Arabidopsis thaliana: one gene and its partners. The protein of the gene in region 4 interacts with the protein of the main gene of each other region in a pairwise test. Each region holds a gene or a part of one and is shown on either strand. Other genes may lie near its edges.

What was found.
Region 1: the proteins of AGL62 (region 4) and AGL92 interact in a two-hybrid assay, tested with the Arabidopsis thaliana proteins (one large-scale study listed by BioGRID).
Region 2: the proteins of AGL62 (region 4) and AT5G26630 interact in a two-hybrid assay, tested with the Arabidopsis thaliana proteins (one large-scale study listed by BioGRID).
Region 3: the proteins of AGL62 (region 4) and AGL80 interact in a two-hybrid assay, tested with the Arabidopsis thaliana proteins (one large-scale study listed by BioGRID).

The regions. Positions count from the first base shown.
Region 1 is NC_003070.9:11,320,841-11,327,521, forward strand, and holds AGL92 (AGAMOUS-like 92), read right to left. Parts: upstream 3,337-6,681; coding exon 2,079-3,336; intron 1,989-2,078; coding exon 1,852-1,988; downstream 1-1,851. Other genes in the region: ROPGEF14 (RHO guanyl-nucleotide exchange factor 14), read right to left, coding at 5,634-5,990, 6,063-6,413, 6,490-6,681. UniProt on the Arabidopsis thaliana protein: Putative transcription factor.
Region 2 is NC_003076.8:9,348,113-9,353,997, reverse strand, and holds AT5G26630 (MADS-box transcription factor family protein), read right to left. Parts: upstream 3,187-5,885; 5' UTR 3,184-3,186; coding exon 2,527-3,183; 3' UTR 2,378-2,526; downstream 1-2,377. Other genes in the region: AT5G26640 (anaphase-promoting complex subunit 11 RING-H2 finger protein), read left to right, coding at 5,824-5,885.
Region 3 is NC_003076.8:19,736,531-19,742,711, forward strand, and holds AGL80 (AGAMOUS-like 80), read right to left. Parts: upstream 3,312-6,181; 5' UTR 3,261-3,311; coding exon 2,295-3,260; 3' UTR 2,116-2,294; downstream 1-2,115. Other genes in the region: AT5G48660 (B-cell receptor-associated protein 31-like protein), read left to right, coding at 456-741, 1,424-1,797. UniProt on the Arabidopsis thaliana protein: Probable transcription factor. Controls central cell differentiation during female gametophyte development. Required for the expression of DEMETER and DD46, but not for the expression of FIS2.
Region 4 is NC_003076.8:24,301,866-24,309,296, reverse strand, and holds AGL62 (AGAMOUS-like 62), read right to left. Parts: upstream 3,917-7,431; 5' UTR 2,969-3,916; coding exon 2,645-2,968; intron 2,353-2,644; coding exon 1,777-2,352; 3' UTR 1,581-1,776; downstream 1-1,580. Other genes in the region: ARF4 (auxin response factor 4), read left to right, coding at 1-203, 298-488, 571-739; AT5G60430 (antiporter/ drug transporter), read right to left, coding at 6,229-6,444, 6,657-6,911.

The DNA of each region.
Region 1 (6,681 bases), on a different chromosome or scaffold from region 4:
ATAACCAAAAAATAAGAAAAACAAGAATGCACATCGTTAATTAGACTTTGTTTGACTGGTTCTCTTCTTATCAATTACATTTACAAAATGTAGAAATTTCTCTAAAATAAATAGCATATTTATTGATTTTTGATTAAATGTTTTCAAATAGTTATAAAAATACTATAGAGTAGAAGATATTACATGAGAGAATGGTAAATAATTCAATCCAGTAGTAGTTTAATTTCCATTCTCTTTAAATGCTAAATTTTATTTCAAGCTCACCGTATATTTTTGGCTCAGATAATAAATAACTTTCATCTGCCATAAAACACTAATTTTCATGTTTATTTATATGTTTAGTTAGGGGCGACTTAAGCTACTTATAGTTATAGGTCATGTTCAAAAGTTTAACTATAGATATCTTAAATAAGGTCCATATATATACATAAGAACTTTTTTTGGTAATCACGATCCGTTTAATCTATGTATTTAATTTACACATACTAAAACAATTCAAGGTATAGTCGATCTTATCTGAACGTTGTAGTAAGCATAACTGGTCACCAAAAATATGTTCTTAGTTGAAGTACACACTTGAATCCAACCCAAAAAACCTCGTCAGTGTTGGGATGATACACGAAGTGAAGCCTATAGTTGAAATAGAACGCTAGGAAGCCATTTTTCTAAAAAAAAATCTTAATGAATACTTAGTAGGTGATAGGTACAGATAGAGATACATTAAGGCTTGTGTTAATTTCAAATTACCTTAGGCCCATAATATATGCATATCCTAAAATATACCTTATTTTCTTAATATCTCAGCTTTTTATTTAAAATTTTCAGAAGAGCCAAATCAATTTAACCATATTCAATCTTAATACAGTCTTTAAAACGGTTTTTAAAGGAGAAGCTTCAGGTGGCACGCATCGAACTAGGAAGACCCTCTAAATCAAGGAGAAGTATCAGAAGGCACTTTACTTAAACACCACAGTCTACTGCTTCTACTTGGAGTTGTATTCACTGAATTACCTGCCTTAGCAACTGCAAACAAAAAATAGAAAACCAGTCTCTGTCCCATCGGAGAGGCCTTACACGGGACCAAAGCAAAGGCCTTTGGGGTGCTCTTTAGGGTCACATGAGCTAAGGATGCTACTCGGTGGTGCAAGGGAGTTATAACTCTTTCAAGATTTCTCCCATTCTTGAAAGAATCCAGAAAGCAAGATTCGCAAGTGTTCGGGAATATGCTTCAAGAAGCCCATGCATGACCAATGTCCTGAAAACAAAGAAGAAGGATTTAATATCGACAAATAATTGTATTGTAAAGTATGACATGTTTCAGAACATAAACTAAGAAAGATGTAATTAGTTCTGTTTATGTTTACATTGCCATATTGGATCTTTGTGGCATTAAGAAACGAGTGAGGAAGATTAGAGTGTTTGGATTTGATCTGATTTCTAAGCGCTTCTTTTCGGTTCAAGAGTGATTCACTGCGACCAATTTCAACAATGGTTCTCCTCGTATATATACTCAATGGTACTTCTCCTCCTATATATACAACTTCCGTCCTGAACTCTCTTCAAAATATTTAATCATATAAGTATTTAACCATAATGAAGGCTTGAAAAGTATTGATGTTTTTTGGAAACAAAATCCTATCTGATTTTGGCAGATCTATTTAGTTATGCATTTTAAGAACAAAAAGCTCGTAAAAAATAATTTGTGACCAAACAGAAATGACTTCATTGAAATAGAACTGACTTAAAGGTAAAACCTTCAACTCTTACAACAACTAATTGAAAAGGAAAAGCATAATTAAATACTGGTCTTTTAAAACAAACAAAACACAAAATGCACACTACTGAAACACATCACACATTGTTGTTGTTGTTGTTGTTGGTGGTGGTGGTGGTGGTGGAAGGCATGTGACCGGTGGAAGTAAGACCAACGGTTGGTGGCTGGTGGTAGTTGTAGTAGTTTCCGTCCATGAAAGGGATGTGTGCATGCTCTCCAACATAACCCGCTTATTCATAAGGATATTCTGTCAACATATTCATGAATGGATCATTTTGAAACGGATACTGATTTGGATCCAAACTCATATTCTGGTTCAAATTCATATCATAGTTTCCTTGTTGAATCTGATGATTAAAATCAACAGGAGCTTGGTATTGAACCGGCTCCTGTTGATTTTGATTCAAATTCATATTCTCAAACTGAAAATGATCACTAAAACCAGTAGGGACATAGGGCTGAACCGGCTCATACTGATTCTGATTCATAGGAAGACCGGCACCTGCAACACCAAGAGCTTGGTAGTGAACCGGCTCTTGTTGATTTTGATACAAATTCATATGCTGATATTGAACATTATCACTAAAAACAGTAGGGATATAAGGCTGAACCGGCTCATACTGCAACTGACTCATAGGAAGACCGCCACCCGCGACAGCAAGACTCTGGTAGTGAACGGGCTCATACTGATTCTGAGTCATAGGAAGACCGGCACCCGCAACAGCAAGAGCCTGGTAATGAACCGGCTCTTGTTGGTTTTGATTGAAGTTCATATTCTGATATTGAATATGATCACTAAAACCAGTAGGGACATAGGGCTGAACCGGCTCATACTGATTCTGGTTCACATTCATGTTATGAAATCCAGTAGGAACATTAACCGCAGCTTGATCTGCAACAACAGGAAGATTGGCACCCGCAACAGCAAACAGAGGAGGAACAGTTACCGCAGCTTGATCAGCAACAACAGGAAGATTGGCACCCGCAACAGCAAACAAAGGAGGAACAGTTACCGCAGCTTGATCTGCAACAACAGGAGGATTGGCACCCGCAACATCAAACAGAGGAGGAACAGAAGAAGAAGACTCACCATATTCTGTAAGGAACTTCTTCCTGGCATTAAGCTGATTAAGATATTGATCAGTAAAAAGACTTAAATCTTGAAGGTCCCTTGCACCATACTGTTGCTCACTCATCTTGCCTCCAACGCAATCAAACATAAAATGCTTAAGCTGAGTTTCTCGGTTTTCACGACGTAGACTCTCTAGTTTGTTTTGTTCTTTGGTGATTTGGTCCCGCAAGAAAGTCTCATGACTCATCATCGTCTTGGACCGTTCTGTCGCCGGCTTCTCCATGAACTCCGAAATCACCTCTTGAACACCTTCGGTTGACGGCCACACCGTTGGATTCTCGAACGGACTGTAGATTACCGCACATGCTTTGATGTCACAGAGAGTTGTCAGCTCGTGGAGTTTCTTCCTTATCCCTGCATTCCTCTTCCTGAATGTGGCTCTCCGAAAGTGTCTATCAGGTATGAGTACTAACTTAGTCTTCGTCCTCATTATCTTTATTTTTCTTTTCTTTGGTGTTTGTGTTTGTTTAGTTTCTTGGCCCAAGACTGTTTATATAGCAACGAAAAGGGTGATTTTTTACTCAGGGTGTGGCTTATCACGTTTCTGGACTCATTAATTTGTAGTTACAGCATTAAATCTTTTGGCTACTGTCTTATTAATTGATTAGGCCACTAATTAAAGCTATGACTAAGATTGGATTCTCTTTTCTCTTTACTAAATATAGTTTATCTTCGTATATTACTCACTTTTCTTTTAAGAGTAATATTAAGCTTTGATAAACTGTGAAAATTTCTAATATTTTAAGTGTTTTTCTTTTCTTTTCGAATAGAGTTTTACAGCTTAATTTCCATGTAAAATCATGAATATATAAAAGCTTAGGAACTTTGTTTATCTATAGTAAAATTATTTCGGGAAAGAATTAACGTGTCTTACGAAATATTTAGAACGAGCGAAAATTTTGAAATATGTAGACATTAAAGGAAGCCTACATAGAAAAAAGTTTGTAAACCAATATAATAAAATAATAAATATCATTAAAATTTCTATCATGTTTTAATATATAAAAAATGCTCTTTTATATGTATAAAAATTTATCTTTACAATAATAAAATATAAAAAATAATAATAAAGTAATAAAGAAATTTTTCCTTATAAAATATTAAAATCACAGATTTAGTTATATGAATTAAATTTTTAATAAAATATTTTTAAAAAATCTGCCATGGCCAGAAGGTCCATCTAATTTTGTTTAGTCAATAAGTTGATTTTAATTAAAAGGAAATAAGGGTAAAACTGTCTTTATACATTAATATAATAATATATATGGATTTTTTCCATCTTTTGACTTATACACTAATATGACTATTTATGACATTAAAACGTATCAATTAATGTACACGTGTAAAATCATGATTGGATATAAAAGAAAATCAGTTATTTTAGAGATAAATTATGAATTCATGCATATATTATACCTTTTGGAGCATATATTTTTCTTAATTTGGTTAAAATATTCATTGTACTGCCAGCTAATTATGAGCTGTAAATATTTGAAACTAGAAATTTGACAAGAGGTTTAGAGCACTTCCAATGGTTTTCACATATCCCAAAAAAGTATCCCAACTTTTAAAGTCTTAATATTTTTAATAATTTTAATTTAAAAATAAAAATGAACAATTAAAAAGAGACAATTGTAAAGTTCTAGTTAGTATACCCAAAGTTCTTATTTGAGAAATTTTCTCTTCTTTCTATCTTAAATTTTTTTTTAGTTATGATTATAATGGGGGAGTATCTTATTAAGACCCTCCAATAATTTTCATTTTTATTTATATGTCTAGTTAGGATGTTTGAACTATATATATAGGTCATGTTCAAAAGTTTAGTTAAAGATTTTTTAAATATGGTAAAATAATCTTTTGAAAAGTTATAGGTCCTTATTGAGTTATATGTATATGAAATTTTTTACAAGAACAGTTTTTTGGTAATCAAGATCCATTTGATCTCTATACTTGCTATATTGAAAACAATTATGGTCTGTTCGATTTTCTTTGAGTTAGTAAGCATAATTGGCCTTTAACAATATTTTGTGTTAGTATCGGATGGCACAGTTGAACTTAAATCCAACCCAAAAAACCTCATTAGTGTCGGGATGATAGACGAAGTGAAGCTTGCCATTTTGTTATACTTATTAGGTAGTATGTACAAACGGAAACTCATTAAGGCTTTGTGCTAATTTCAAATTATCCTTAAGCCCATAATATGTACATATCCAACCAAGATAGATCCCTTCTAAATGAAGACTTCTTATACTCCAATCTTGCTAGTGACTTAATGGAAGTGTGCAAAAGATAGTGGCTTGGTGAAAATACCTGTTAGTTGATCATTTGTCGAGATGACAGCTAATGCTTCATTCAAAGATGGAAGTCGGGATAGTAACCTAATTGAGATTCAAATTAGATTTCAAGAAAGTAGTAATTAAAATGATTCTAGTCTAGTATATTATAAATAGATTATGGTTTTGGACATTTTTGTTTTGAATATACCTTATTTTGTAAAGTATTTTCTGGAAGAGACTAATAAATTTAATCATAATCAATCGTATCAATTTTTTTTCCCGGATTAAAAATTTGCTTTTCACCGTGAAGTTATGAACAAAATTGTATGAATTCGTACTTTAACTGCAATATGTTAATACATTTACAACATCTCAGGCTTCATAATTTAAAACCTTCAAAGTAAAGGAGAAGCTTCAGGTGGCACGCATCGAACTAGGAAGACCCTCTAAATCAAGGAGAAGTATCAGAAGGCACTTTACTCAAACACCACAGTCTACTGCTTCTACTTGGAGTTGTATTCACTGAATTACTTGCCTTAGCATCTGCAAACAAAAAATCTAAACCAGTCTCTGTCCCATCGGCTTTGTTCATGTCATCGGTTAAAGAATGCCTTACACGGGACGAAAGCAGAGGTCTCTCAGGTGTCCTATAAGGGTCACGGGAGCTAGGGAAGCAACTCGGTGGTGCAGGAGAGTTAGGGTTGCTTAAAGAATCTTCTTTCAAGATTTCTCCCATTCTTGAAAGAATCCGGAAAGCTAGATTCGCAAGTGTTCGGGAATATGCTTCGAGAACCGCATGACCTATGTCCTGAACACAGAGAAGAAAGATGTTTCAGACCATTGGACTAAGAAAGATGTAGTTAGTTTTGTTTATTTATACCTTGTCATATTGGATCTTTGTAGCATCAAGAAACGAGTGAGGGAGATTAGGGTGTTTGGATTTGATCTGAGTTCTAAGCGCTTCTGCTCGGTTCAAGAGTGACTCATTGCGACCAATTTCAGACAACGGATCTTTAGCGAATGACCACGATGCTCTTACAGGGGATTTACCATTGCTGCCTTGTTCTGTAATCCTTTCTTTCCAAGCAAACATAGCAGATTCTAACTTGTTAACTGTCTCGAGTGCTGCATGTTCGGTTCCCAGATTGAGCGATATAAAGATTTCATCTACTGTTGCAGATTCCACAGCCAACATCTTGTACAGTTCATCACCGAGGCTGTTCTTTCCAGACTGTTACAAAACAAGATTTTAGAGGTAGTTGTATAATTATGACTATCACAAGGGATAATAAAGAGTGCAAGCTTACTTTAGGTATTGCTTCCTTGATAACAATGGGAACTGGCATTTCAAGAAGAATGTTTTCGTTTATGGCTTTTGTAGCTTTGAAGACTTGATAAACAACTTTTCCTTTGTCAAGCAATTTCTTCCTTCCTGAGTTAGAGAGTCCAGGTTTAGGCACTTGTGGCGATGGAAGCCACCATCGTTTGCTCTCACTTGT
Region 2 (5,885 bases), about 15 Mb from region 4:
TCATCAATACGGCATCACCGTACGTCAATGTTCTTCAACGTAGAAAGAATAAGAAACAAAATTATTGATTTCTTATATATCAAGTAAAAATACATAATCACGTGGTAGAAATAGTTTCAGTATTATTCAAATCCAAAGGAGTGTTAAGATTAAAGTACCTTTGGCTCTAATCTTTCCTTACAATACCAAATTGATGACTTATTTAGTCAAAACAAGTAAGGTGATGAACTTTGTTTCTTTGACATATTGTTTCTTGTAAATAAGTTATTATTTATGTTTAGTTGACCTCAATTAGCTCAATGTTATTCAAATTTAATGGAGTGTTTAGTTTGATAACCGTTAGTTCAATTCGGAAAAATTAATTTAAAAAAGATGATAAGTGATTCAAAACGAATTAGTTGACGACTTTTAAAATATTTATATATATTTAATTTTAATTTTTCCAAAAAGAAAGATAGCACTTAATGAGTCTAGCCTTTTATTTATAAGAGTTATAGACCCAATCAAACTATAATTACTTTTGTTACACAAAACTTTGGGTATATTTTAGTGATTAAACTTTATATTTTGTAAAAATATAGTTTACCCTTACAAAATAAAATTATGTTTATATAAACTAACTATATTATCCTTAGTTAAATGGGAAGAGTAAAAAAACTCTCTACTTACGCGTTTTGGCGAGTAAATTCTTATTTAGGTTTACTTGACCTGAATTAGTTCAATTTAATTTAAACTTAAACCGTTGTCTCTAATTCAGAAAAATCAATTAAAAATGATGATTTAGTTGGTCAAAATGAATAAGTTGGTCACTTTTTAAAATGCTTATACATATATTTTCTAAAACATCTTATATTGTGAACCTAAATAAAATATGTAAAACATCCTTTAATATGAAACAAAGAGAGTATACTATTTTGACAAAGTAGGTTTACCATTCGTGATTCGACTATGATTATCATTTTTTAGATAGCAATTATGGAGTCTAGTAAAAAATTTTTTATAAAAAATATAATTACCCACTCAAACCAAGATTCTATTTTGGTTATGCAAACCTTTGGCTATTACTCATTAAACTTTATATTTTAGAATACAGTTGTCCCTATTATAACTTTAAAAATAAAACTATTTTTGTAGCAACTAACTATATTACCTTCGTCAAATGAGAAAAGGTAAAAAAAATCTCAACATACACATTTTGACCCATAATAATCACAACTTACACAATTTGGTCAGTAAAAATCTTAACTTACGCAATTTGGCGAAAACAAAATTTGAATATTTTTATTGCAAAAAATAGTTATCAACTTATTTGTTTTGGGAAATAAATTTTTATTTAGGTTTACTTTACCTCATTTAGTTCAATGTTATTCAAACTTTATGGGGTGTTAAGTTTGATTATGTTGGCTCTAATTTGGCAAAATCAATTATATGCATTTTGTCTATCAAAATCCCAACTTACGCAATTTGGCCGGTCCAACTTACACAATTTGGCGGTCCAACTTACGCAATTTGGCCTGTAAGAATTCTAACTTACGCAATTTGGCTAATACAAAATCTCAATATTTTTACTGCTAAAAATAGTTATCAACTTATTTGTTTTAGCGAATAAATTCTTATTTAGGTTTATTTTATCCCAATTTGTTCAATGTTAGTCAAACTTAATGTAGTGTTAAGTTTGATTACTGTTGGCCCTAATTTGGCAAAATCAATTATACGCATTCTAGCCTATCAAAATCCCAACTTACGGAATTTGGCATGTAAAAATCCTAACTTACGCAATTTGGCCAATACAAAATCTCAATATTTTTACTGCCAGAAATAGTTATCAACTTATTTTTTTTGGCGAATAAATTCTTATTTAGGTTTACTTTACCCCAATTTGTTCAATGTTATTCAAACTTAATGGAGTGTTAAGTTTATCAATGTTGGCCCTCATTTGGCAAAATCAATTATACGTATTCTGCCCAATAAAAATCTCAACTTACGCAATTTGGCTAGTAAAAATCCTAATTTAAAATCTGAATATTTTATTGCCAAACCTAGTTATCAACATATTGTTTTTGGCGAATAAATTCTTATTTAGGTTTACTTGACCTCAATTAGTTCAATGTTATTCAAACTTAATGGAGTGTTAAGTCTTAAATCACGACCTTTTATACAGAATTAAACCTCTTAAATCTTGAACGAGCTTGGTTGTCGAAAAGTGATGGATCTAAATTACAAATATTTGAGACTGGACACAATGGCTTGGTTTCCATTTGTGTTTATGTTCAGAGAATGCAATTCTTGTGCCATTACTGTATAGAAAACATGTTTTAAGAACTGATATGATGCATGCATTTATTCATAACGATTATATATAAGGAGAAAACATTAATTAACGAAAGAAAAATAAATTTCATTCATGAGAAAATACAACTACATGTGAAACCAACCCAAACATGTAACTTAAACAAACAGAACTAAAACAATAACTTTTTATTGATAGTTGAAATGACAACAACTTAAAATAAGATCAACGATGGCTCACCACTGTTTCTTGTTCAGATCCAAATCATTTGTGGTCTGTTTCATATTCAAAGTAATTTGAATTTGATCTCGAACCTTGTCGTAAAATCCAACCGAAGAAGAACCCATCTCAACCACAGGCATGACACTAGATGTTGTAGGGGCAGCAACAGGAACGAGGGCGGAAGATGGTTCATTGTTCCTTTTCAGAATCTCGATCCTACGATTAACATCTTTGAGTTGTTGTTCAATGACATAACCAAAATCTCGAAGCTCAGTTTTTTCGATACTAGAAACCAAAGTTTTGCCACTAAGACAATCAAACATAATGTTCTTCATCTCCAACTCTTTGTTCTCTTTCCGCAACTTCTTCCAAGACTCGGTTGCTTTGGTGATCCTCTGTTGGAGAAAGGTCTCTTGGTTCACCATCTTCTTGGTCTTGTCCATCACCGACATCGTCTTCCATTGGGACACCACCTGGTTCGCAGCCTCTCTCGATGGCCACACCTCCGGGTTCAGCTCGTACGGACTGTTGACGACAGCAAAGATCGGGACGCCACAAAGAATTCCCAACTCTTGAGCTTTCTTCAAAAGACCTTTCTTTCTTTTCTTGAATGTTGATTTTCTTGCTGTTTCATTTTCTATGAAAGTCATTTTCACTTTCTGTCTCGTCATGACTTTATTTTTTTGTGTGTTATACTTTTGAATGGAGAAGTGCTTTTTATATAGAAGATCTGATTGTTGGAATTAAGCAAAATTTATCTCAGTTCAACCATATATATATCATACCTTTTTAGGGATATCAAAATTGGTAATACGATAATGGAAAGAAATATATATATGTTTAGAAGTAAATTTTTTTTTCAATTTTTTATTTTTTACTTAGGAATTAAGGAGTCTACTAATCTAGTTACAAGTTTTTTAGTTTGTTTGTGAAAAGTATAGTTACACTTTAACTGAATAATTGTCCTTGTTAACTTTTGGGTATAGTTACTTCTTAATACCAAAATTTTGCATAACAAGAACTGACACTTGTTCAAAAAGACTTATAGACTTATAGTCTTATAGTGCTGAGTTTTTAAAATAGTTTTTATCCATGACCAGTTGACCGAACGACTATTCTTTATCTGGTTCATAAAATATTTTTTAAAATAATTGTTATTACTAATAATTATCCAAACATATCTTATGTGGAAAACATTTACTTTACAAATATTTTTATCATTATTTTTTCTGAAATGTTATATGTATGGAAAACATATCTACATATAATAAAGATAAATATTACATAGTTTGAACATACATAGAATATATATCTAGATGATTTTACTTTATATTGTGGTGGGTAATCTTGACTGAAAAATCATTTTCATAAAGATTTTTTAAGTTTTTTTTGCAAACAAAGTATAACAAAAAAGGTCAAGAATCAATTAAAAAAATGTTTTTAAAGGGTAACTACGGAAGTAATTTAAAAAAAAAACATTCTTAAGAGGATATTACTCCTTCCGTATTAGTTTAGGTTTCGTTCTAGCATTAAAATTTTGTTTGATAATATTTATCGGTTTAGATTTTTAATGTAGATGTTTGGTAAAAATTCCAATTATATTCTTATTGTTTTTATGTCATTACCAATAAAAAAAATATTAAACAAGGGTAAAATAAAAAAAAATTGATTTTTTAATTTCTGTAAAAACACCATAAACGAAAACTATTTCAAAACAGAGGGAGTATTAGTTTGTGTATGTTAATTAATTTGGAAATCTATATTATTACCTTTTGCCAAAGATTTTGAAATCTATATAAAATTTAAAATGCCATGAAATTTTCAAAATCTAACATGTGGATTTGAACTAGCATTTATAAACCATTCAAAATAATTAGATTCGCCCACATATTTAATCTTTGTATTTGTAACTAGGTTTTGTACCCACGCTATACGTGTGTATTTTTGATATATTTCGGTAAGAAATACATACAATTAATTATATTTTTTAAATCGAAGTAAAAATTCAATTTTATTTCAAATACACTATATTAAAATTATAAAAATCAGTAGTGTTTAAGAATCGAATTTATTTGAAAGAATCATAAATCAATTTTATTTTTTCATATTCAATTGAATGTCAACACATATGTCTTTGTATTTCTCTTCACATTCGTTGTTTCTTACTTTTCATATTCATTCTTGTCATCTTAATTATTAATTTTCTTTTAGCCGTTGTCATCATTACTTTCTCGTTCACTTCTTCGTTATAGTCTTCATCTTCATCTTCCTCGTTATTTTCTCACTTTCTTCCTCATCCTCTCTCTATATTATTCTATGTAAAATATTCGTTATTATGTGGTTAAAAAACAGAACGAGAAATTTAAACTTAGTAACTTTAACCAAACATAGTTCAATAAGCTTACGAATTAACTCCTAAAACGACTTAGTTCATTTCACCATCTGAACCAAAATTTGATCCCTTAGTTCTCGTCTCCCGAACATGCTATCAAATTTCAGATTATTCCGAGTACGTTGGATTTTTGTTTGTTGTCTCCACATATTTGTTTAGATCTAAAACTTTAAAAGAAATCTTCTTGAACCTGTTGAAGAAGTTGTTTAAATCTATATTCCACTATTCAACCTTAGGAGCCCAATAAACAAATTGTGAGGGTTTAGCCACTTAGCCCAAAACGGACAATATCATATTAATGTGGAAGTTAGATTGGACTTGGAAAGCCCAAGAGTATTTTGGTTAGTGATGTTGATGACTTTCTAGTAGTTTCTTATGAGGATTCTTCTTATCAACTCTCAACTGATTCATATAGGGCAGAATAAGATCAGTTGATCAATGCGCCTGCAATTAGTATTTGTTTTTTCAAACACAGGTTTTTCATGGACTCTCAGTGTTACAATGTTTTCAAACTCAAAAACAGAGTAAATTCATTGACTCTCAGTATTACATGCAATTTTAATTTATGTAAGACCATTCAAGGGAATTAAAAGCTAAACACAAATCCAAAACAAATCTAATGTGTGTTATTGTAAGCCTATGTGTGTTAGGGTTTCTTTGGAAAGTGATATAAATAGGATTGTTATGTGTCTAAAAGATGTAAACAACTCTCGTTCATCCATTTTATGAAATATTAACCACAATCTCTTTGTTTTGGTGACAATCTAAGTTATTTTCCCTCTTTTTATATTTTTGCACAATAAAGCTCTAATGAACTATTTCAAATTATAGCATTTTGACTATTTTCTATTTCAATAATCCTTTGTTGGATTCTCTTACGGTTCATACACCAAAACTATTACATTGTGAGAAACTTTAGATGGCATGGGGTACATGGGATGCTCAAGATGAGACATGTGGGTTATGTCGGATGCCATTTGA
Region 3 (6,181 bases), 4.6 Mb from region 4:
TTCACTCTTAAATTTTAAGTTTACATAATTAATTAGTACACCACTAATCACAACCATTGATCTCCCTCTCTCTCGCTAGATTAGTACTAAACAACATTTATACCTTTATGCTTTCTACTGAACTTTTCTCAGATCCTTCTTCACTCTTCAGTGTTTCCTCTCTCCTACTAAAACCTTCTTCAGTTTCTTGAATTCAATTCTTCTCTTAGTCTTCTCCATTTTATGATTTCTTGGTGGTATCAAGAACTCAGTGACCGATTTCTTGAAAAAGCTAATGAGTTTTAGATAAACTCGTTGCTTGCTTTCTCTTCATTCTCCGATCTGGGTTTTGGTTTTAAATCCATACCCAAGTAGCAAAACTAGAAGACAAGAGCTATAGAAATTAGGGTTTAGAGTTTACCTTATTGGTGAATTGTGGTAAAGGAACAAACTTTAGGGGGAGAACTCATTCAGACATGATTCAGTTACTGTTTCTAGTTCTATTTGTGGAAGGTGCGATTGCATTCTTACTGTTGATAAAGATTGGTCCTTTGAGAGAGCTTGTGATTAAAAGTCTTGACCAGATGAAGATGGGTAAAGGTCCTGCCACTGTGAAAACAATCGCTGGAACTATGTCTGTTATTCTCTTTTCTAATCTTATGAGCATTGTCAAGATCCAGAATAAAGGTGCAAAGCTTGGGACAATGTCTCCTATGGATCAGGTTCTTTGGAGAACACACTTGCTTGAAGCTTCTTTATTGGGTCAGTTTCTCTCTTTTTTTCTCTTGATGTGATAAAAATTGAACCATAGGGCTTTGTTATTTGATTGTTGTCTTGATTTGTCTTTAGCTGTTGGCTTCTGAACAACAGTTGAACCATAGGACTTTGTTGTTTGATTAGTTTTTAGTTATGGTTTCTGAACAAGAGTTGAAATCTTGGCTAGACTTTGTGTTGATCATGGCTCTCAAGTAGGGCTAATACAGCTTTTACTGAATTCTTGTAGGCTTTGTTGTTCATAGAGGAATGATCTGAATAATGCAAATTCGCAAGCTTAAGTTGAGTGAGCACTTCTGTAAGAAGTTAATAATGTTTTGATTAAGAGTTTGTATACCAATTGAGTGGATGGTGGTGTCGATGTATAGAACCACAGTACCGGTGTTTTCGTATCGCACATATGAATATATCTATAGTTGTCTCCAAGGCTCTGTTCTGCTAGTATTCACCAGATTTGAGAAGCTGCTTCGGTAGTTGATAAGTTTGGAACCTGAATCCTTATTAACAGTAACAAAATACTTCCTTTATTGATCTTGATTTGTTGATTACAGTGCATTCACATATGATCTAGCTCTTAGCTATATGTAACACATAAAAATGTTGAGCTATATAAAGTGTGTAACATAATGAAATTACATTTGAAGCTAAAAAATCTTAATGATCATTGCAGGAGTCGTACTTTTTCTCGGCTTTATAATTGACAGAATGCATCACTACCTCAGAAAGCTAATCAATTTGAGAAGCAACGTCGGATCATCGAAAGAAGAACTTGAACAGCTCCAGAAAGAAAGAACCGAACTGAAGGAGAAAGAGGAGAAAGCATCCAAGGAAATCAAGCAGTTGCAAGTAAAATTGTCATCTATTACAGAGAGACTAAAGAAAGCAGAGACTGAGTCAAAAGAGAAAGAGAAGAAACTCGAAACTGCTGAAACACATGTTACGGCGTTACAGAAACAGTCTGCAGAGCTGCTTCTAGAGTATGATAGATTGCTAGAAGATAACCAACATCTCCAAAGCCAAATCTTGGGGAAAACCAAGAGCTGATGTTAAGATTGTCTGGTGTTATTTAACAATGAGAGAGTTTATAGAGTATTGTAGTTGCAGGAATTCTTGCAACATTTTTGTTTTTAGTGTATGGATATTGAATGGTTCTTGTTTCTTCTCAAGTCTTTGGAATGTTTTTGTGACGACAATTATATCAAAATCAGCGTTGAGTATGACAAAGAAAGAGAGCTAAGATAGTTAATTTGTAACTAAAACCCGTTTGGTAAGAGCTTTTCCAAGCTTGGTTGACATATTTGTGGGGAAAAACACATATCACATGGAAAAATAAACAACAAAAATAAAAGTATCACACATCTACGACTTTAAAAGGCATAATTATTGCAAAACTATAATAGTAAAGATAACACAGTCACAAACTCACAACTTTGAGAACATAAACTGTAATGCAATTTATTACACACAAAAAAACTTAAAGCTGATCATAATTTCACTTATCAATTCATCCAAATTATTGTAATATAACATTTAACAAAAACCTAATGGAACCATGTTTTATTGGTAATACTTGAACTAGTAACAGGGATGATGCTGCTTGAGTTGGCGGCATCAAGAGCGTTGGAAGATTCGTCATGGATCTGATGTTGGTGCTCCTGTGGCTGGTGATGGATGTGGTTGTGGTGGTTATCATCCATGAATTGATATCCCATTTGCTCTGTCTGATACCTCATTTGCTCAGGATGGTTCATCATTTCCATAAACCATTCTTGATTTTGATTATAGTTCTGATTTAAATTCAGATTTAGATTTTGAGGTTGCTCATTAAGTCCAACATGTTGAGCCGCCGGATGACGAAATTGTTGAAGATCAATAGGATTAACAAAATTCGCGACAGCCGCAAATGAGGAAGAAGAACCCACCTCATAAATTGTAGTGGTGGGAGCTGTTGTAGCGACCAAATTCGGCATTGGTATATTCCCTTCAGAAGCAGCTACCGCAACAGAAGAAGATTCACCAATCTCCGTACCAGAATTTCGTAAAATCTCAATCCTGCGATTAACATCTTTAAGATATTGCTCAATCATATAACCCAAATCATTAAGATCCACAATATTCAAATGAAACATCTCCATGTTTCCAATCAAACATTGGAACATGACTTCAGTCATCTCTAGCTCCCTACTATCCTTTCTTTGTCTCCTCAAAGTTTCTGTCGCTTTCGCGATTCTTTGTTTGAGAAAACCCTCTTGATCTACCATCTTTTTGTGTTGATCCATCTCTGGGAGTGTCCTAAATTCTGAAACCACCCTTTGCACACCGGAATTTGATGGCCACACTTCAGGGTTGGTATCATACGGGCTGTAGATGATCGCACATGCAGTGATGCCACAAAGAGTCGAGAGTTCGTGTACCTTCTTCATCAAACCCTTCTTTCTTTTTTTGAAAGTCGCTTTTCTTGAAGAATCGTTGGAAATGTAAGCAAGTTTCACTTTCTTTCTTGTCATTGAAAAAATATTTCTCTTTGTTTTTTCTTTTTTATTTGTGTATTTTGTTTTGAGATTGTGAATATGTACTGTTATATATATATAGTAATGAAAGGGTACAAAATTTTGTTTCTTTTAGTAAGTGACATTTAATTTTAGATTACAGGTAGTCAAAAAATATAAAATATTTACTGCTAATAAAATTGTGTTATATAGGGTATCTTTTCTTTTATTACAAGAAAAAAATCTAAACGTCCAAATCAAGCTTAATGCATGAACATTATATTAAAAAATCTGAATGGATTTTAGATACAGATGAAAACCGTTTTTCATTTTACATGTATTAGGACTACTGGTTTGACATATGAAAATACTATTGTCCAAAAGTCATAGATAAATATTGTATTAATCTAATATGAGAATGATAATATGAAAACAATAAAATAGAATAAACAATTTTACTTTTTAACAACAATAATCAAGAAATATCAATCTAGTAATGTTATTTAATCAAAATGCATTTAGTACAATTATTTAAAAATATAATTTCAAATATTGTGATAACTAGTAGGATTTGGTATTATAAGATAGTCAAAGATTCTGTTTCAATATATTTTTGTGATTTTTTTCTTTACTGGAAACAATGAATATAGGTTATTGAATGATCTAAGCATCATAGAGTTAATCTAAAAAAATCGTTTCATAAATCTCATGCTTTTGCATAGATAGGAATTTTACAATACACACTAGATTTTAACCCGTGGTATACCGCGGGACGATTTATTTTTTAAAAGTAATATATATTAAAATTTGCAAATTTTATTTTTATAAAATATTTATATTTTATAGTTTATAATTGTTATTAAGTAACGCTATACCACGAATCCATGAGACAATTGTTAAAAAACTGAAGTTGTAACCCCTATTAAAACAACATATTAATAATATTTTAAAATTTTATAAAAATTGATTCAAATACATCCACCATATAACCCAATTCCAAAATAAAACCTGTTCTATAATTTATTTACCCGTCCTGTGATTTTTCTTTTAAAGTAATAATTTTTAAAATTTAAGAATTCTTTTTTATATATATAAGTTTTGCAAATTGTATCATTCTCTAATACATTTATAGTTTATAATTTAATTTTATATATAGTAACATTATACATACCACATAACATTTTTGGTTTTATATAATTTTTTCTAAATTAGGATGATTTGATATGTTTAATATTAGTGGTCTTAAGAAATAATAAATTAAAGATTTAACCCGTATTGAAACGGTGGATTAATTATATTTTACTTTTTTATTAATGTTGATTCAAAAACCCGTCACTCCAAATCCGTCTTGCCAAAAAGCCATTTATTTTATTAATATTAATTTTACTAATGATATGACTCTGAATTATAATTTAAATATTTTAGCTGATAACATAGGAGTAGACCATATTTATTTAATAGGGGAATGTACCATATGACCCGAATGCATTTTTACCCAAATCCACCAAAAAAGTTTTGCAAAAATACTATAAAGATAAGAAACGATAGTCGGTTTTGATAGGTATAAGATTAGCAAATATATTAGTTAGTTTAAATTAGTTAAAGAATACAAACTTAAAAGGAATATTACACTTTATTCGAATATAGTATCAAAACTTATATAACACAGAGATTTGATAATTTTTTAATTGTTGAATACTTTTTTTGTGCTAATTTTTATGTGATTAAGATTTAATTGATTTTGTATATAAAATATTAAATTGTTTTACGAACTTATTTGTTTATAATTTGGTAACAGATAAATATTTGAGTATTCAGTATATTTTGCTTCAGTTTAGGAAATCTTTGATGATCCGTCTTTAGATCCAATAAGCCCTATAATCTAGATACTAACTTGTAGTATACCGCATGTAGGCTTATATTTTAGTTAAACTAAAAATTTTTATCGTAAAGATGATTTAAAAATATATGATATTATTTTATTTGATTTTAAATGTATAGTAAACTGTGAGTTGTATATGTTTTGTTGATATTATCTATATTGTTTAGTGTTTAAGATTATACACTTGTAGTTTGATTGTTAATTTAAGAGTTTCACCTGTAGTATACCATCTTGTATTAATATCGATCTAAACCCGTCAATTTTAGGATTTTTCAGCTTGTATTAAAAACTGAATCACATCATACACATAAAAAAATCTAATATGTTATTAATTATTGTAGTATATAAGATTATAAATTTTCAATATAATATGTATGAAATTAAATATAAATATTTCAAATTATGACCCGTTACTCAGTAGAAATATAAGTTTTCTTAAATATATTTTTCACCCGTTATAATATTTTTTCATGTATTGAACAGTTTATATTTGTTTTTAAAAATTATAATTATGGCATATGCGAAAAAACTCTAATTATTTTTTTATAATGATGATATTATTTTTTCGCAAAAATAGAATCATATAAAGATGAGAAGTGAATTATAATAATTAATAAAAAATTAATATGATAATTTAGATATCAAATCTAATTTGTTGATTTTAATTGGTTACTTTTTTGGAAATTAATAATGTATTTCATTTTTCTAATTAAATCAAATTAATTAAAATTTAGATATCAAATCTAATATGTTAATTTTGATTGGTTATTATTTTTGAAAATTAATAATGTATTTTGTTTTTAAATTAAATTTTATTAATTAAATTAGTATTTGACTTTTTAATCTTTAAAGAGATAAATTAGTTTACTCTTTAAAATTTTATTTCTAATGGCATACCTATGTAATTACTTACAAAAATTAAAGTTATATTTAAAATGTACTTCCCAAATAATATAGTTGGATCATATGAAGTATAAATATTTCAGAAATAAAGGCATGTACAATTATACCACATTTCTTAACATTTCTTAAATGAAAAATAAAATAAATAATTGAG
Region 4 (7,431 bases):
GAAAGTTTGATGCACAAAATGAAGGTGGCCTACCAAATAATGTTACAGCTGATTTGCCATTCAAGATTGATATGATGGGAAAACAGAAAGGCAGTGAGTTGAATATGAATGCTTCATCAGGATGTAAACTTTTCGGATTCTCCTTACCAGTGGAGACACCTGCATCTAAGCCGCAAAGCTCGAGCAAAAGAATCTGTACAAAGGTAAAACGTTTTCTTTATCATCTCTTTGGCTACTTTGAGTTGCAGTTTTAGATGTCTCTTCTAATCAGTTCTTGTGTTGAATTGTTATCAAAAGGTTCACAAGCAAGGAAGCCAAGTGGGGAGAGCTATTGATTTGTCGCGACTTAACGGGTATGATGATCTCCTTATGGAGCTTGAACGGCTGTTCAACATGGAAGGGCTTCTCAGGGATCCTGAAAAAGGATGGAGGATCTTATATACTGATAGTGAGAACGATATGATGGTCGTTGGCGATGATCCATGGCAGTAAGTTCTTTATACATACCTTCTAAAGGTCAATCACAACTTCTTTTCTCCTAACTTGAAATTGGCTTTCTGCTATGGATAGTGATTTCTGCAATGTGGTGTGGAAGATACACTTATACACGAAAGAGGAAGTGGAGAATGCGAATGACGATAACAAGAGTTGTTTAGAGCAAGCTGCTCTCATGATGGAAGCATCAAAGTCATCTTCTGTGAGCCAGCCTGATTCTTCTCCTACAATCACTAGGGTTTGATACCCATAAAGAAGCTTATTTCCTATGTTTTAAAGTGTGTTTTGCTCACAAAAGAACTTCAACTTTATCTTTGTCTTTGAATCCATTTATGTGTTTGTTTGTGTTTCTTCTGGTCTCCATGGATGTCTCATGTGTACCGTTTTACTCGAGAGATATGTGAGTTTATGGGATGTGTAAAGCATGCCATTGGATTTTAAGGTTTTCAAAATTACAATATATATATTAGTTTTGAAGTATTTTGCTTGATTTTGAAAATTTCATTTCTTAAGTTCTTACATATGTGGATACTCTTGTATTGTTCTTACAATTTTTTTATTTATTTTTAGATTGATATCTAATACATACTAGATATTTGATGATGATTTAATCTTTTTTAAGGAAAATAAATATTAGAGTATACTGCACGGATTAATTAAATAGAATGATGTGACATAGATTTAGCCTTTTTTTCAACTAAAAGTTAACCTTAATTTTATTATATTTTCCTTAAATTTAACATTAATTTTATTATATTTTCTATATTAGAATTAGATTTTTATCATTTTAGGAATATTTCACAATATCTGTATTTCATCATTATAAGGAATGAAATTAGAGGGAAAGCCATTGTAATGCTGTCATTTCATTTTTTACAATGTACCAAAATATGTGGGATAATGTATGTACTATTTTAGTTGAAAAATGGTGCACACAGAAATTTTCATTATGCTTTTTTGCAAATTTATTTTAAAATAGTACATGATTGATTATGATTATTACCTTTCTGTGTTTAAAATTCTGCAATTGCCCAAAATGCGTAAACGTAACCATGGCAGACTAGTATTTTCAGAGGCGTAATGCATTTGTTTCCGACACATATAATTTATATATAGCAATAACATAATTTTGAAATGAAACAACACAATACAACATAATACTTAAACAAGAACAAGAAAAACAACAACAACACATGTAGAAACATAAATAAGAAGAAATAAAGATAACCTAAACACACAACTTTTTGTCTAGAGACTTAAGTTGGATCACACAACAAAGGGTTAATAGTAATCAGATCTAGACTGGGGAGGATAACCATGATGATGTTCATATTCAGAGATGTTTTCTCTCTTAAAACTCTGGTTTTGGATTTGGATTTGAACTTGATTTTGGTTTTGGATTTGGTTTTGGTTTGGGTTATACTCTGGTCTGAAGTTCACATTGTATTCTGGAACAAACCCTTCATTAATACCATAAGCATTGTTTCCAAAGGGTGGTAATGCATGATTAGGGTGAATTTGGTTCTGGTTGTAGTTGAAGGCATTTATGTCCATCATTCTTCTTTGGCTAAAGAGATCCATATCAGGGTTGATATGACTACCATCATCAATCCCAAAAGCAGCATTATTACTAGAACTTCCCACATAGAAGTTTGGAACATTTGCCTGAAAAAATCTGGAAGCTTCGACTGTAACTACTTTCTTCAAATTTTCAAGATTACCTTTGAACCCCTCGAGTTGAGATAACGCAAGTTCCTCAACGGGATCTTCCCACCAATTCCCAAGGGCTTTTGTCTTTTCTCTTATTTTCTTTAACTCGTCGTACTTCTTTTTCTCTGTTTCTAATTGACTCAACACCTGCAAATATATATACAAATAAAAACACCAATAATATTATTAATTTTCATACCATATGATTCTATAACATTTCATCGGCATTTTTATCTAACATACTATTAGGATATAAATCTATTCTAGTTATGGAGAAAAAGACTGTCTAATGTTTTTTATATATTATTTATTCACCTGCGAAAACTTTTACTTATATATATTAAATAAAAAAAGAATTTAACCATAGAAATTTGGGTTTTATGATTCATAGAAAACACTATTTTGTTTTAATCATACTTAAAAATAAGAGTAAGATTACCTGAGTAAGATGATTATTCAGATCCTGAACAATCGAATTTCGACGAGTTTCTCTAAGTTGCATGTTGTTGTGTTGGTGAGGAGGTAGAGGGTTATTGTTTATGAATCGATCAATTACAGAATCAACATTTGGATGACCAAAAGAAAAGACTTTTCGACCAGGTGAGAACACAACTATGGCCACTTCTGCACCACAAAGTGTGCAAAGCTCACTAGCCTTTTTGAAAAGTCCAGATCTTCTTTTTGAAAAAGTAACTTGAAGGTTACTTTCATTTTTCATTTTGACCATCTCTATTTTTTGACGACCTTTGCTTTTTTTCACCATTTTTAGTGATATTTGAGAAGCTAAAATATAGGATTGGTGTTTGTAGAATGAAAATGCTCATGTATTTATAGCAGAATATTACAAACCAAATAATTAATATTTGAGTTGTCTATGAGTAAATTTCAACTTTGATTTATTATATTTTTATTTGAATTTGAATTTTACTATTTTTGTAACATTTCATAATCTTAATATTCAATCAATATATGGTATGCAATACAAATTTATTTGACTATTATCTTCTCATTTCATTTGTACAATGTATCCAAATCTGCCAGAAAGATCCACCTTTAATTAGTAGTGATCTTTTCATATCTAATAGTAATATTATTGGAATATTTTTTTTAAATATAGCAACAAAAATGGCGGCGTAAAAAAAATTACTAACAAGTAACAAGCGTAATATGGTCAATATGTTTTTGATTTACTGATACATCATTTTCGTTAATTGTTTAATATTCTAAACTTAATCTCATATTTTAATATATTAAAAAATCGTTATATTGTTATCTGAAATTATTTGTCGCTATTTTCTAAAGTAAAACATGTATTCTCTCGTTTTTTTTTGTTAAAGGGTCTTCTTATGTATTCTCTCGTTATTGGTGATTGATCTATTATCGATAATGAAAACTATTTATGATAAAATGATTGTATGATTTTTTTAGCAATTGTTGTAACAAATATACTCCGTTACATTATTTATGCAATCATATTCTTTGCTACTTTTTAGATAGAACATATTTTTCTTACGTTATTAGCGATTGATTTGTTATCACTAATGAAAAATATTTATGATAAAATTGTTATGTGATTCTAGCAACTCGGCCACAATTGTGATAGGTTTGAGATATATATATGATTAAGCCCGGCATGACTATGAACTATTTCTTTGTGTTCCATACACATATATCCTTCTCTCTTTATATATATATACACACTAACCTTTATATGATGTAATTATCATCTAAAAATAGTTTATTTATATATTTATTTTAAGAGAGTATATTATAAAAGATTAGATTCAAGGAAAAACATTCGATATATTGTTTATCGGATGAAATGAGTTTATGAATTTTGCACTAAATAATGTTCCTTTATGAATATAGAAAACTTAGTTATTTATGTGATAAATACAGAAAAAATGAAAATCGTCAAAAACGGATACCATGAGATAACACTATAATTTTGAGAGCTTTAAGATAGAATTATTTTGTTTGGACCGTTATATAGAATATGAAGACCATTCCAAATTCATTATTATTTCTGATAAATTGACAATAGATATATGCCGTTACATTACTTACTAACTCTGTTTTTAAAATAATAATGGAATACATTCCTCTATTGTTATTGGCGATAAATTTGTTACTGATAATAACATATATTTATGATAAAATGGTGATATCTTATTTCCAATAATATTTATAGCTCCCCTATCTCATTTGATGGATTGATAAAAATTATTTGAATGACTTTATTATTTTTTGATAATTTGAAGCCAGATTCTCTTAAATTACACAAAATATCAATTATATAGTAATTAATATGAAATATTCAACTTATCTATGTAGAATGTAAATGTCATCCAAAAATAGTGAAATGGTAGTTGTTTCAGATAATATCTCCAATTAAAATTATTTTACCGATGATAATATAATACGGGCATGTTTATTAAAGTATGCATAAAATAGTGATCTTTAAAAGAATCTTATCATAATACTGAACTAGATAGAATTGATTAATCTTAAAAACTTTCAGTATTGATTACAGTATTAAAGTTTTATCTGAGGTACAATGATTTTTGTTAACTTATTATTTTTGATAGTTAATTGGTATATTTTCTGAAATTGATTTTAGAGTTATAAATATTATGGTAAATATAGTTATACTGATATCATAAAATAATAAATATATATGAGATCTTTAGAAATATGTGATTGAACTAAATATCTTAAAATTCTTATTTATGAAACTTTTAAATAGTTAATATACCAAATAATTTAAAAAAGGAAACAATAATTTTCTACAAATATAATCCATAAAATTTAGACGAGACAAACTACTTTTGCAGTAATTATTAATTTGTATATTTGTTATATAAGATAAATTCTTCAAAATACCACATTTTTTAAGTTTTGTTGCCAAAAATGTCACTATTAGTTTAATATTTCAAAGATACTACCAAAAAAAATTTGTTTTTCAAAAATACCACAAAACAACAAATTGATGTCCAAGAGTTCAAAATTTAAAATTTTAGGTTTGGGTTACCTATTTTAGATTTAGGGTGTAGTTTTTAAGGGTAGGATTTTAGTGTTTAAGGTTAGGATTTGAAAGTTGAAAATTTAATTTAGTTTTGTGATATTTTTGGAAAACCAAAAACTTAAGTAGTATTTTTGAAAGATCAAACTTAAGTGTGATATTTTTGAGAACTGTTTGCTATATAAACATATTTGCGTACTTTAAGAAATATTATTTATAGAAAACTGCCAAAGGATTAGAAAAATTCACTAATATATACACATAATTGAAAGACCTTTTATACTCTTTGGTAACATATTTATTAGTATGTAAAATAAAAATACAAATGGTTTTAGTTTAATCAAATAAAATGTAAAAAAATAATATAAAATATTGAAGTCTTTAGACCATGACTAATAACCTAGCGGTATTTGCTAGAATCATCGTTGTGTCATTGCCGAGATGCAATTCCAATTAAAATAATTAATAAATCATATAGAAGAAAATCATACAATATTTTATATTATTACTCCCTAAAATAATGAATTCCTGAGTTTTTCACCAAGATTTAGAAAATTATAAATTATATATTTTGATTAATTATTTTTGTGCTATATCTTTTAAAAAGTTAATCTCAAGTTGCTTTTTGCTCCACTTATCTTGAAAATAATAAATGATGTACTTTGATTTATTGTAAATTTAAAAGCATAAATTAATTGATTGATCTTGAAAATAAAAATGCGTTAAATATACCACGGAAAATCAATATTTTGATACAAAAACAAAACCTCACGAAATCATTCTTTGGAATGAATAAACCAATCATATGATATGATACATGACATTCGAACATAAGGAACTGCTATAGGAACAAAAGTTTCCCACATTAACCTCAAAGGCTAGTCTCTCTAAAATCATGGGACTAAGAGCAAGTCCAGTGATTAGTTTCTAAATAAAGTTTCTATGTATTTTTTATTAATAAATTTGGATAGTTTTGTAGTTTAGAGATTTTTTTAGAGTTTTTAAAGATTTGGTGGTCCATTGGTGGAATACTTAAGTGGGTTTCTAAAACAAAAAAAAAAATGAAAAAAAAGAAAATTTGTTGATATTTTTATACATAAAATAGATGGGAGAACCTGTGAAAGACTGAAACTGCCATCTACAAAATTTTGTTGGTAGAGCCCAATATTTGCTCCATCTACTATAGCTTCGTAATCTCCATGTTTCTCAAGCCAGTCCTGCCAAATAAGATAGCAACATTCAATAAATATCGACATTTGAATACTCAAGATTGATGACAATTCGCAGTAGAAACTCCAAGCACTATACCTATCTCTAAATGCTTATCAAAGTTAACTAAACAAAAAGTAAACTTTCATTAATATTTAATGTCCAAGACTTATTATAAGCAAGCTAAGAGAATCAAGGAATCATCAATTCTTTCTCTAACCTGAAACTCGCTGAAGACCACATCTGACTCACATGAATTCATTTTTGCCTTCCTTTCCATAGCCAAAGCCACCAAAGAATCCACAAACTTCTGTGTTTCTACCTCATTGGTATCTACACAAGCTAACTGCTCACTGCAGCTCAAACATCTTCCTGTTGAGCTAACATTACCTTTCTTTACAATCCATTTTCCATCACCAACCCACCCATGCCCGTGCCACCCACCTCCATTCTTCAAAACAGCTTCTCTAAGCATCTCAACATCAGAACCAATGCCATAAATCTCAATCTGACCAAGTGTTTGTCACTCCTGCGTAAAAACAACGGCAACACAAGAGAATCCATTTCCTGAAACTGAAACTGAAACTGACAACAACCACCTTTGTACCTTGCATTATGTTAACTACAGAATCATTACGTGATTGAATCATTACATGATAAAATACAGAATGTATTGTATGAGAATCATTACGTGATTGAATCAATAACCCATGTCGATACTTTTAAGTTAACTAGAGAGAATCAAAAACTTTTTAAAAATGAAGCTCACTCGCACATACAACTGAACAGAATTTTGCATCTTTTTCAACGAAACGGATCTGATCTTTTTCAAAAAAAACTTGAAGACCACATCATCTAATGATTTTTAACAGCTTCTCAATCAACGATCTATTGCAAAATGCAGAACCTAACAACACTTACAAATTTATCCAATCCTACATTTATGCAAATTTTCCCAATCAATCAAACAATCTTGAGCTTCAATTTCTTGAAAT